3 linked regions of the Sus scrofa genome follow. The protein of the gene in region 3 interacts with the protein of the main gene of each other region in a pairwise test. Links are inferred from orthologs where the notes say so. Each region holds a gene or a part of one and is shown on either strand. Other genes may lie near its edges.

Region 1 (3,500 bases), on a different chromosome or scaffold from region 3:
GGCGTAGGCTGGTGGCTACAGCTCCGATTTGACCCCTAGCCTGGGAACCTCCATATCATATGCCGTGAGAGCGGCCCAAGAAAATGGCAAAAAGACAAAAAAAAAAAGAAAAGAAACACTGGTGGTGAGAATGTAAAATGGTACAACCTATTTGGAACAATTTCGCAATTCCTTATAAAGTTAAATATATATTTACCGTACTACCTATAGCAATCACTCCTAGATGTTTGCTCCAGACATATGCCCACACAAAGACTTGTACACAAGCATTCACGGCAGCATTACTCATAACAGCCAAAAACTAGATGCAACCAAATATCCATGAACAGATGAATGGATAAAGGGGTGTATCCATTCAACAGAAACTATTTTGGAACTTCCCTGGTGTCCTACGGCACAACTATGTGGCATCATCACTGCTTCGGCTCTGATTTGATCCCTGGCCCTGGATTTCCACATACCGTGGGTGAGGCCAACCAATTTTAACAAAAAAAAAAAAAAAAAAGGAAGGAAGGAGGGAGGGAGGGAAGAAAGAAAGGAAAGAAGGGAGAGAGAGAGGGAGAAACTACTCTGCAATAAAGAGGTAGAAACTACTAATACATAGAATAATACTGGAATTCCCACTGTGGCTCAGTGGAAATGAACCCGACTAGTATCCATGAGGATGCGGGTTTGATCTCTGGCCTCATTCACTGGGTTAAGGATCCAGCATTGCCAGGAACTGTGGTGTAGATGCGGCTTGGATCCTGCATTGCTATGGCTGTGGTGTAAGCTAGCAGCTGTAGCTCCAATTTGACCCCTAGCTGGGAACTCTCATATGCTGCACTGGTAGCCCTAAAAATTTTTTTAAAAATTAAAAATAGGAGTACCCGTTGTGCAACAGTGGGTTAAGAACCCATCTAATATCCATGAAGATGGGATTTTGATCCTTGGCCCTGCTCAGTGAGTTAAGGATCTGGTGTTGCTGCAAGCAGTGATGTAGGTCACAGACACGGCTCAGAGTTGCTGTGGCTGTGCCGTGTAGGCCAGCAGCTACAGCTCCAATTCAACCCTTAGCCTGGGAACTTCCATATGCCACAGGTGCAGCCCTAGGAGAAAAAAGAATTGTAGTTCCCATGGTGGCTCAGTAGTAACGAATCTGACTAGTATCCATGAGGACACAGGTTCGATCCCTGGCCTTGCTCAGTGGGTTAAGGAAACCAAGTTACTGTGAGCTGTGGTGTAGGTCGCAGATCTGGCATTGCTGTGGCTTTGGCGTAGGCTGGCAGCTACAGTTCTGATTCGACCCTTAGCCTGGGAACTTCCATATGCCCCAAGTGTGGTCCTAAAAAGCAAAAAATTAAAATTAAAAATTTTAAAAAAGAATAAAACTGATGAATGTGAAAATGATTATGCTGTGCAAATGAACACCAGAGTATATAACGTATATTGTATAATTCAATTTACATGAAATTCTCAAAAGATAAATCTAAACTGACAGAAAGTAGATGCATGGTTGGAGACTTGACAGTTCCTTTGAGTGTACTTTAATACATGTAATTATTAGTTCAGTAAAGCTGACTTACAAAAAAAGTGCAATCCTGTCGCACTGTGCACATATATCATAAACAAAAAAAGTGCAATCCTGTCGCACTGTGGCACATCAGATTGGCAGTGTCATGCAAGTGCTGGGATGCAGGTTCAATCCCCAGCCCAGCACAGTGTGTTAAGGATCCAGTGTTGCCACAGCTGAGGCTTAGGTTACAACTGCACCTCAGATCTGATTCCTGCCTGGGCTGGAGCGTTATATGTCTCGGGGCAACCAGAAAAGGGAAAAGGGGGTGGGGGGAGGGCAAAGGATCCAGAAATCACCTAGAAGAGGCTCCCATTAGACAATTCTGGGACAATTTGAGCATCAAGTTAAAACAACTGTAATAACAACTTCAATCACTGAAAACATAAATGGCCTTTAGTCCACACTGATTAATAAGAGGAAGTTATTCTCCACAGTGGAATGTCAACTAATACATATAGAAAGAATGATGCAATAAGACAAATTACCATTTGTAACAATCATGGTAAAAACTGAATCAGGCAAGAACAAGAACAATCAGTGGGGAGTTCCCACTGTGGTGCAATGGAAACGAATCTGACTAGGAACCATGAGGTTTCGGGTTCGATCCCTGGCCTCGCTCAGTGGGTTAAGGATCTGGTGTTGCCATAAGCTGTAGTGTAGGCTGGCAGCCATAGCTCCAACTGGTCCCCTAGCCTGGGAACCTCCATATGCTGTGGGTACAGCCCTAAAAATAAAAAAAATAAAAAAAAAATCAATGGAAACTAAAACTCATTTGAAAAGTTTGATGAGAAAAATGGGTATTCCCACAGCCTCAAAATCTCTCTACACAGCTTACACATTAATTAAAAAGGGAAAAGATTAACTTTACAATGAAGAAACCTAGAGTGCCTCATGTTGACCAAAGTACTCAAAGTTAGTACACCAATAATAAGATAAACCAATATCATGTATACTTTCAAATAATGCACTGCAAAGAAAACCATTTAACTTTTGTAGTACCCCTGCAAAAATTCATAACCCAATCCAATCAAGTGGAAACATCAGAAAACCCAAAGTGTAGTTACCACATAATAGTTCTACAGTCCTCAGAAAAAAATCAATGTTATACAGATAAAAGCAGATGTGTTCCAGATGAATGGAGACTAAAAGACAAGACAATTAAGGGCATGTGTGATCCCAAATTAGATCCAAGAAGAGGAGAAAAAACACTGTAAAGGGCATTATTGAGAAATTTTGCCTGAGGACAGGCATAGTGTAGTTCTTATACTATATACTCTGAAGGTATTGGAGGTTAAAGGAGCACAATGTCTGTAATTTACTCTCAAACACTTTATACTATATCTGGTTATTAAAATAATAAGCATTAAGATTAAATTAGTCCCTTTTCTCTTAGTATGTTACTTACTTCGTGTATCAGTTCTCCTACTGTTATGCGATGATTTATTTGTTTCAGGTTGACATCTTGAGCTATTGCGGGACCCTGGTCTTTCTTGACTGTCTGGTCTTATATCATCTAAGTGGAGTGGTACCCACTTGTGCTTATTAGCTTGAAGAAAACAAAATAAAATCATTTAATGACAAAAAAATAGTGATCACACGAATTTCCAAGGATATATCTATATTTCTATAGGTGGAATTTCAATCCATTTTTACTTTATATAGACTGTAAGACAAAAGACTAAAGCTTAAGATTTCAGAAATGTTACAAAAGCAAATCAGATACCACTGTAGATGGTATCCTGAAGAAATCCAAACTACTCATTGGTGACTACCAGGAGTCAACTGATTAAATACAATTTTCATTACTACAACTCTCTTCAAAAATTTAAAATCAAAATGAAGATGCAGATACACTAACCTCTCTTTCGTTGATTACTTGATTGAGCCTCATCCTCACTGACATTTTCACCAGGACCATCTAATTTTGTTTCTCTGCTTTCTTTGC
Region 2 (3,500 bases), on a different chromosome or scaffold from region 3:
AGGGGTCAAATCAGAACTGCAGTTTCAGTCTATGCCACAGCCACAGGAACACAGGATCCTTAACCTACTGATCAAGGCCAGGGATTGAACCTGCATCCTCAAGAATACTATGTAGGGTTCTTAACCTGCTGAGCCACAAAAGGAAATCCACAAAACCTACCCATCTTTAACATGAACCCATAGCCTTAGCTGACACAACACAACTACCTTAAGAAAGTTATACATCTTTGGTGGACCTCTGTTTCTTCATCTGTACTATAAAGGCCGATCCTCATAATATGCGGAATGCCCTCTTGCTTTTAAAGACAGAAAGGAGCTGTGATTGACCTCAAGGAAGAGAAGGATCTTCAATGCCCTAAGGTTGTCTGGGAAGCCAATCTAATTTTTTTTTACATTTTTGCAAAGCTGAAAAACCACTCCTTGAAATTCCTCTTTTAGTGAAATTGAAGCCACTGTGGGAAAAACAGAACAGGAAGAACAGGAGAGTGGAATGTTACCCACTCTCTCCTCCCTCCCTAGAACCTATTCACACTACAGGGACCTGCAGATTGCCTCTGCACCAAGTGCTTAGTGAGCCTTTAATTATTTCAAGATCTATGAGACATTATTCCCTGTTCTTTTATTCTCATAACAAACTGTTCTGGGCCCTCTGCCAAAGAGCCAATATCTTTGTGCAATTCTACATGGATATAATTTTTCTCTATGCCATGGTCACCATTAAATAAAATCAATAAAACTAGCATTTGCCATCAGTACACTTGCCTCTGACTCTATTGTCTCTTATGTAAGAAAAGAAAAGCAACACTACAGCCCCAACATGAAGCCCAGTATTTCTCTGATTGGAAAGGGTGGATCAGGGTTTGTTCTTATGAGTGGTGTGAATAGACATCCCTTGATATGTCCTCATCAATCAACCAAAAAGTATTTTATTGTCAAAGAAAACTCTCTCTCCTTCGCTCTGTTCCACAATTAAGAGATTCTGCCTTTTGGGTCCTTAATAGGCTCTTATCAAAATGCAAATGTTAAAAAAAGTAAGAGCTCATTCAAAAGCTTCCCAAATTTCAGTCCTAGGAGTACTAGTGATAGGTTCCTCAGAGAAGAAAAAAGAAAGAAAGAAAGAAAGAAAGGATCAATAATCACATAGCCTGGAAATAAGAGTTAGAATTTGTTACTAGAAAGCACCTTAGCAGAGATCAGTTCACAGCACATGAGAACAAGACAGATTCAGGATGGACACTCAAGTTATGATAGGTCCTTCATTGGCCAATGGAAACTTAGCCATCCCCTAGCACAGAGAAGTGCTCAAAAAGGAAGGACAGAAAGCCCATACACCTCTGCCATAATCCACTCATTTCAAACCACAGGGTCCTTACCCGGTATTTCTTTTCTTGTTCAAATTTTTCTTCAAATTTCCGAATTTTCCGCTTGAGGCTCTGGATATGTTTGGTGAGCTGAGTAATGGTCGGTGGTTCCTTGCCTTCACCACAGCCACACCGTGAAGAACTTCGGGGCCTGTGATGATTATAGGGAGGGAAAGAATCACCAAAAATGTTGATCTTGAGGAGCTGTTATATAGCACAAAGAACTCTACCCAAAGTTCTGTGATCATCTAAGTGGGAAAAGAATCTGAAAGACAATGGAATTGTGTATCTGTATGACTGAATCACTTGATTGTACAGCAGAAATGATTACAATCTTATAAATCAACTATCCTTCAATAAAACTTTTAAAAATGAAAAACAGAACAAACAAAAAAAACGGTCTTCCAGTAAACCCTGCTGCTGGTCCACAAAGCCAGCTTCCTGGATTAACAGCGAGGTCCAGAGGCCAGGTCACTATTTGATGAGTAGCATCCACTCATTAATGGAAGCTCCTGATCAGAGAACAGGAAAATGTTATCAGGGACTTTTCAGTCTACAGACGTCAGAATATTAGCCTAGGAAATGCATTTCCTCAAGCTTGGAGACACTTTCAAGGAAGTTTTAGATGAGTAGTTAACTTTTCTTGTAACAGAGCCTTTGTGAATCTGCTGAAAGGAATGGACCCCCTTGCCAGAAAAATGTGTTCACTTTCTCAGAGGACAGACTTTACAGGAGTTATAACTCACTCACTCCCTCAGGTCCATCAGTAGACAGTCCATGGACCCAGGACTGCATAAATTCACAAATAATACCAGGAGGTATTCAGGAGAAACTAGAAATTCCTTGCACATATTTCCAGTTGAAGGAGACTCATTTTAGCTATGCATCAAAACTACATGTCAAATAAATAAATAAATAAAATTCTAAAAAGGAGTTCCCTTGCAGTGCAGCAGGTTAAGGATCCAGCATTGTCACTGCTGTGGCATGGGTCGCTGCTGTGTTGCAGGTTTGATCCCTGACCTGGGAACTTCTACTTGCCACAAGTGAAGAAAAGAAAAGAAAGAACTACTTGTGGAACTTAAAAAACAAGAAAACAGTTTCACAATATGTGTGTGTGTAGGAGCTATAAGAGCTACCACTTTTCTAGAATCTAAGAAGAAACTGAGACAAGACAACTTCCAAGCATTGCTACGATCCAGCCATCAAGGCCACCATTGGACATGGAAAGACATGAGCACATCAAGAATAATAATGAGTAGTCACTAAGACTACTTAGTGAGCACATCAAGAATGATATTCCTGATAGTTGCATGTACATCCATTTTCCTAGGATTCTGCTCATTTCACCAAAAATGTTCAAATACATGAGCCTGTTATCTTGAGACCATTTCCTCCTGAGACAGAAAGGCTTGAAGCAGCATTCTCAACTAGAAAACACACTCTTTTTTCTTTTTTTTTTCCATTCATTGTTCAGGGCTGCATGTGCATTCGGTAGGCACATTTGCTCTATTTTGGATATACCCTTCACTCTGGCTTATAAACGTAGTATTTGAAAAATGGCACAAAACAAAGATAAATACAGAACAAGGTTTCCTTACATCATAAACTGCTGAGTGCTGGGGGGAGAAGGGGCTGATTCAGGGTCTAAATTGAATCTCTGGCTTTGGCTGAAGATGGCGCATCGCGGTGACAGCAGTGGGTTGTCACCATCCGTGATGTGGTAGAGCAGCCTGCTAGTCTCAACAGACTGGAGGTCTTCAGGCGCACTGTCAACTTCATTCTGCCCATCTTTGTGGCCTGGCACAGAATCTGAGGAAACAAGATAAATCATCAAGACTCAGCAGAGACAGAGGGCTTGAGACTGTCATGTTCCTAAAAAAGATCATAAACATTCATTACAATGTCTTGCCTTTTTGTCATTTCTTCCTTCTGGGGATATGAAAGCCTTTCAAAATACTGTCATGTTTGTTCTCACAGAACCTGGATAGAAAATATGATAAAGCCAACACACACACACACACACACACACACACACACACACACACAAAATGGAAACACAAATTAATTCGGTATGAGTTATAGCATCAGCATAGACACAACTACAAAAATACTTTCTTTATTTCATACTATTTCCATAAG
Region 3 (3,500 bases):
CCTTTATTGTTTGTAGACCTTTTTTTTGCTATTTCTTGGGCCGCTCCCGCGGCATATGGAGGTTCCCAGGCTAGGGGTCCAATCGGAGCTGTAGCCACCGGCCTATGCCAGAGCCACAGCAACGCAGGATCCGAGCCGCGTCTGCAACCTACACCACAGCTCATGGCAACGCCGGATTGTTAACCCACTGAGCAAGGGCAGGGACCGAACCGGCAACCTCCTGGTTCCTAGTCGGATTTGTTAACCACTGCGCCACGACGGGAACTCCTATGGCTGCTTTTCATACTACAGAGGTCAAAATCAGTAGTTCTAACAAAGACCATTTGGTTCACAAAGCCTAAAATATCTGGCCCTTTTCAAATAGATTTTGCCGCTCACTGTGGTAAAGAATGAGCTCAGATGTAGGTTAAATAAATGGAGGAGTAGCAAGGACTAAAGTACATGAGATGCAAATTTCATGAACTATTCTATTAAATCAGACATAATGTCTGCCTAACACAAGTGTGTTTGGTATACTCCATACATTCCGTATATGCTAGGTCAGACAGATTATTTTTCCTAAGTATGAATTACTCACAAAAATATTACCTGTACAATAAGTTCTCATTGTTCAGTAGGAAAGGGGTTGCATGATAAGACAACCTAACATTTTTCAAGCACTAGATTTCTGGTCTACAGCAGTCCTCAACAATCATCACTTATTGTTAAAAGCCAGAATAGCATTTATTTAAAAATAATAAATTAATTAGTAGTAACTTGGATTGATGGTAGGATCATCAGCCCAAGTCAAAGAGGAAATAAGTCTGGAATTGAGATAAAAGTATAAATGATGGTCAGAAAGGAAACTGGGTCTTTCAACACTTCTAACATCACTCCTTGACTGTGGCTCCGCCCTACCAAGCACATGGAGGCTTTGCTTTGAAATGGAAGCAGAATTAAAGTTAGAAGCATGTCTAACATTTTAAATCATTGGAAACAAGGGTGAATGTGGATGGATTTCTCGATTTTCTTAAAATATGGAGGAGCACTAATAAGGAGAAGAAAAAATACAGAGCTAAAGACAATATTAATTTAGAGGGTTTTAAACATCTTTTTATTCATAGCATAAAAAGTTCCAGGTAATTGTTTGCAAAAAATCTTACAGGATCTGCTGTTGTTAATGGTCTATAATCCAAACTTCCTCTGAAGTCTCTGATCATACACATAATTTCATAATTTGGGTTTGTAGCATCAACATCCTGTAAGAAGAAAAAGAGAACACATCATCTATTGTAATTACAATAATGTAGTATTTGTTGCATTTATATTGTATGGTTTGAAAATTAAACTCAAGCTAATAAATTGTGTCATTTGTAACAGCCAAGTCCAAATTCAAGCTGGAGATGTGATAGTTCCAGAATTTAAGATTAATAATACACCCAGGAATCACTCTCATATTAGAAACACAATTCTGCTAGTCTATATGCATTCTGTTAACTCCAAACCAAATACTCCTTATCAAGGCCACTCAACCTATTTCAAATATTCATCTATTATACATATACCTTAATTATCTTAGAAAATTGAGTAAAATAGAAAGAGTGCTCATCCTAAATATTAACAAAGAACTCTAGAAAAGCTGAAATACTTAGAGAAACCTCATTTAGTCAGATTCTTCTCAATTCCTAATTCAATGTTCCAGCAAAGTAGAACTATGGATTCATTTATGTTCATTCCCAGCGTCTACTGACTCTCTCTCAAAAAAAAAAAAAAAAAAAAAAAAAAAAAAAAAAAAAAAAACACACACAAAAACAAAAAAACTAAGACATGGTATAAAACATTCCTAAATCAATAGGACACAGAATTTAAAGCATCAAAAGCCAAGATAATTTTTAAAATTCAATTACTGAACACTAGCATCAGTTTACTTTTTGCTCCAAAAGTGAGAAAATTCAGATTAAGATACAAATAGCAAAAGTTTGTGGCATCTCCAAGCCACGAGTAATAAATTATCAAATCCTATAAAATTGGATTGTGATGATCATTGTGCAACTATAAATGTAATAAATTCATTGAGTAGTTAAAAAATTTTTTTAATCCAGATTTTTTCCATATACTATATGTAGATTTGCTGAGTACAATAAAATTTCAAAATTGTAAATATAACTTACTTTCAATTAAACTTCTGGGAAATAATACCAACTATGTCAAGTGAGAAGCAGAATTAAAGTAAGAAGAGATCACAAAGATGAAAAAAAATACTATAAAGTACCCACAGGAAACACCAGGTGGCATCTTTGTTAAGTAGCAGCAGATCTATCTGTTTTGTGCACTATTTCAAAACTCAACTGATCATTCTCAGGTCACTTTCAGATAGAAGCTGATTTATTCTGGTTGAATATTATATGGATTCCACAGTTTTACAACATGACATCTTTATGATTAAGGTCATCTGAACATACGTACTCCTAAATAAGGAAACGATCCTGATGTTTTATTACAAGAAACAAGTTCTAAGAATATAGCAGATACAATGCAAGCACAATGGATGATCACCTGTACAAGAGCAGAATTTCTAATATGTGAAGACCTGTAGAAGGATAAAAAGACCAGTCTTCTATGCAATTTTTCCGTTGCTAATAAAATTCTACCATCTAAAGGGAACGTGAGAGGAGGAACACAACACCTAGTATAAGTCAACATTTAATATAAGTCAAAACAATGAATTTCCACCCTTTCATTGTATGTTGAACTTATTAACCATGCAAAAACAACTAAAAAATTTATAGTATAACCATACACTTTAACTGGGTATTTTTTCTGTATGTGTTTTTAGATCTTCTAAAAAGCCCAAATCCTATTATTCTTGATGTTATACTTCCATCAGAGTTCTGTAACACAATGGCTTAATATTCAAAATGGAGTAAGCTTTAGGACTAACACATACCCACTAAAACTTGAAAAGCATATGTAGTGAAAATATGTCATGATAAGTTACTTCCCCAATAGTTTATATTATTTTTCAATATCGATTTAAGGAACCATATTGAAATCTTTAAATGAATGCCACAATTATTTTTCATAAGCCAATCACTTTCACTGAAACAGCCTAATCTTTGGTTGGTGCATAAACAAAGTGTTTCTTTTACAAACCTGGGCTCTTTTTTCTCTAAGTTCTTGCTGTTGTAGTCTCCTTTTTTCTCGTTTTTCTTGTAACTTCTCTACTTCTTTCACACAATTAGATTTTCTACGTGCTGAAAGAAAAAGATGAGCTGTAAAAGTATAGTTTCCTTTTAGAGTACTGTGCACTTACATACAAAAATTTTGTCATTTTACCACATACACCAAAAAAAGGTACACAGTGACAAAACATGCCTATAACAATATGTGAATTTTACTTATGAGCTGCTTTAACAAAAGTAGGAAAAGGACAATATACAAATAAGAGTCAAGAAAAATGACTCTAACATACTGATACATGCCATCTCTTGGTTTAGAATCAAAGATCTCTGAATGGGAGA

What was found. The genes of interacting proteins can lie anywhere in the genome.
Region 1: the proteins of KIF2A (region 3) and LARP1B interact in binary tests that used the Homo sapiens proteins (3 or more experiments, as listed by UniProt). The two-hybrid records come from large-scale screens. The link is inferred for Sus scrofa from reciprocal best matches to the Homo sapiens genes KIF2A and LARP1B.
Region 2: the proteins of KIF2A (region 3) and FAM13C interact in binary tests that used the Homo sapiens proteins (3 or more experiments, as listed by UniProt). The two-hybrid records come from large-scale screens. The link is inferred for Sus scrofa from reciprocal best matches to the Homo sapiens genes KIF2A and FAM13C.

Annotation. Positions count from the first base shown.
Region 1 is NC_010450.4:96,838,943-96,842,442, forward strand, and holds part of LARP1B (la-related protein 1B), read right to left. Parts: coding exon 3,414-3,500; intron 3,102-3,413; coding exon 2,961-3,101; intron 1-2,960.
Region 2 is NC_010456.5:62,642,822-62,646,321, forward strand, and holds part of FAM13C (protein FAM13C), read right to left. Parts: intron 3,171-3,500; coding exon 2,960-3,170; intron 1,513-2,959; coding exon 1,374-1,512; intron 1-1,373.
Region 3 is NC_010458.4:41,068,983-41,072,482, reverse strand, and holds part of KIF2A (kinesin-like protein KIF2A), read right to left. Parts: intron 3,234-3,500; coding exon 3,133-3,233; intron 1,239-3,132; coding exon 1,143-1,238; intron 1-1,142. UniProt on the Homo sapiens protein: Plus end-directed microtubule-dependent motor required for normal brain development. May regulate microtubule dynamics during axonal growth. Required for normal progression through mitosis. Required for normal congress of chromosomes at the metaphase plate.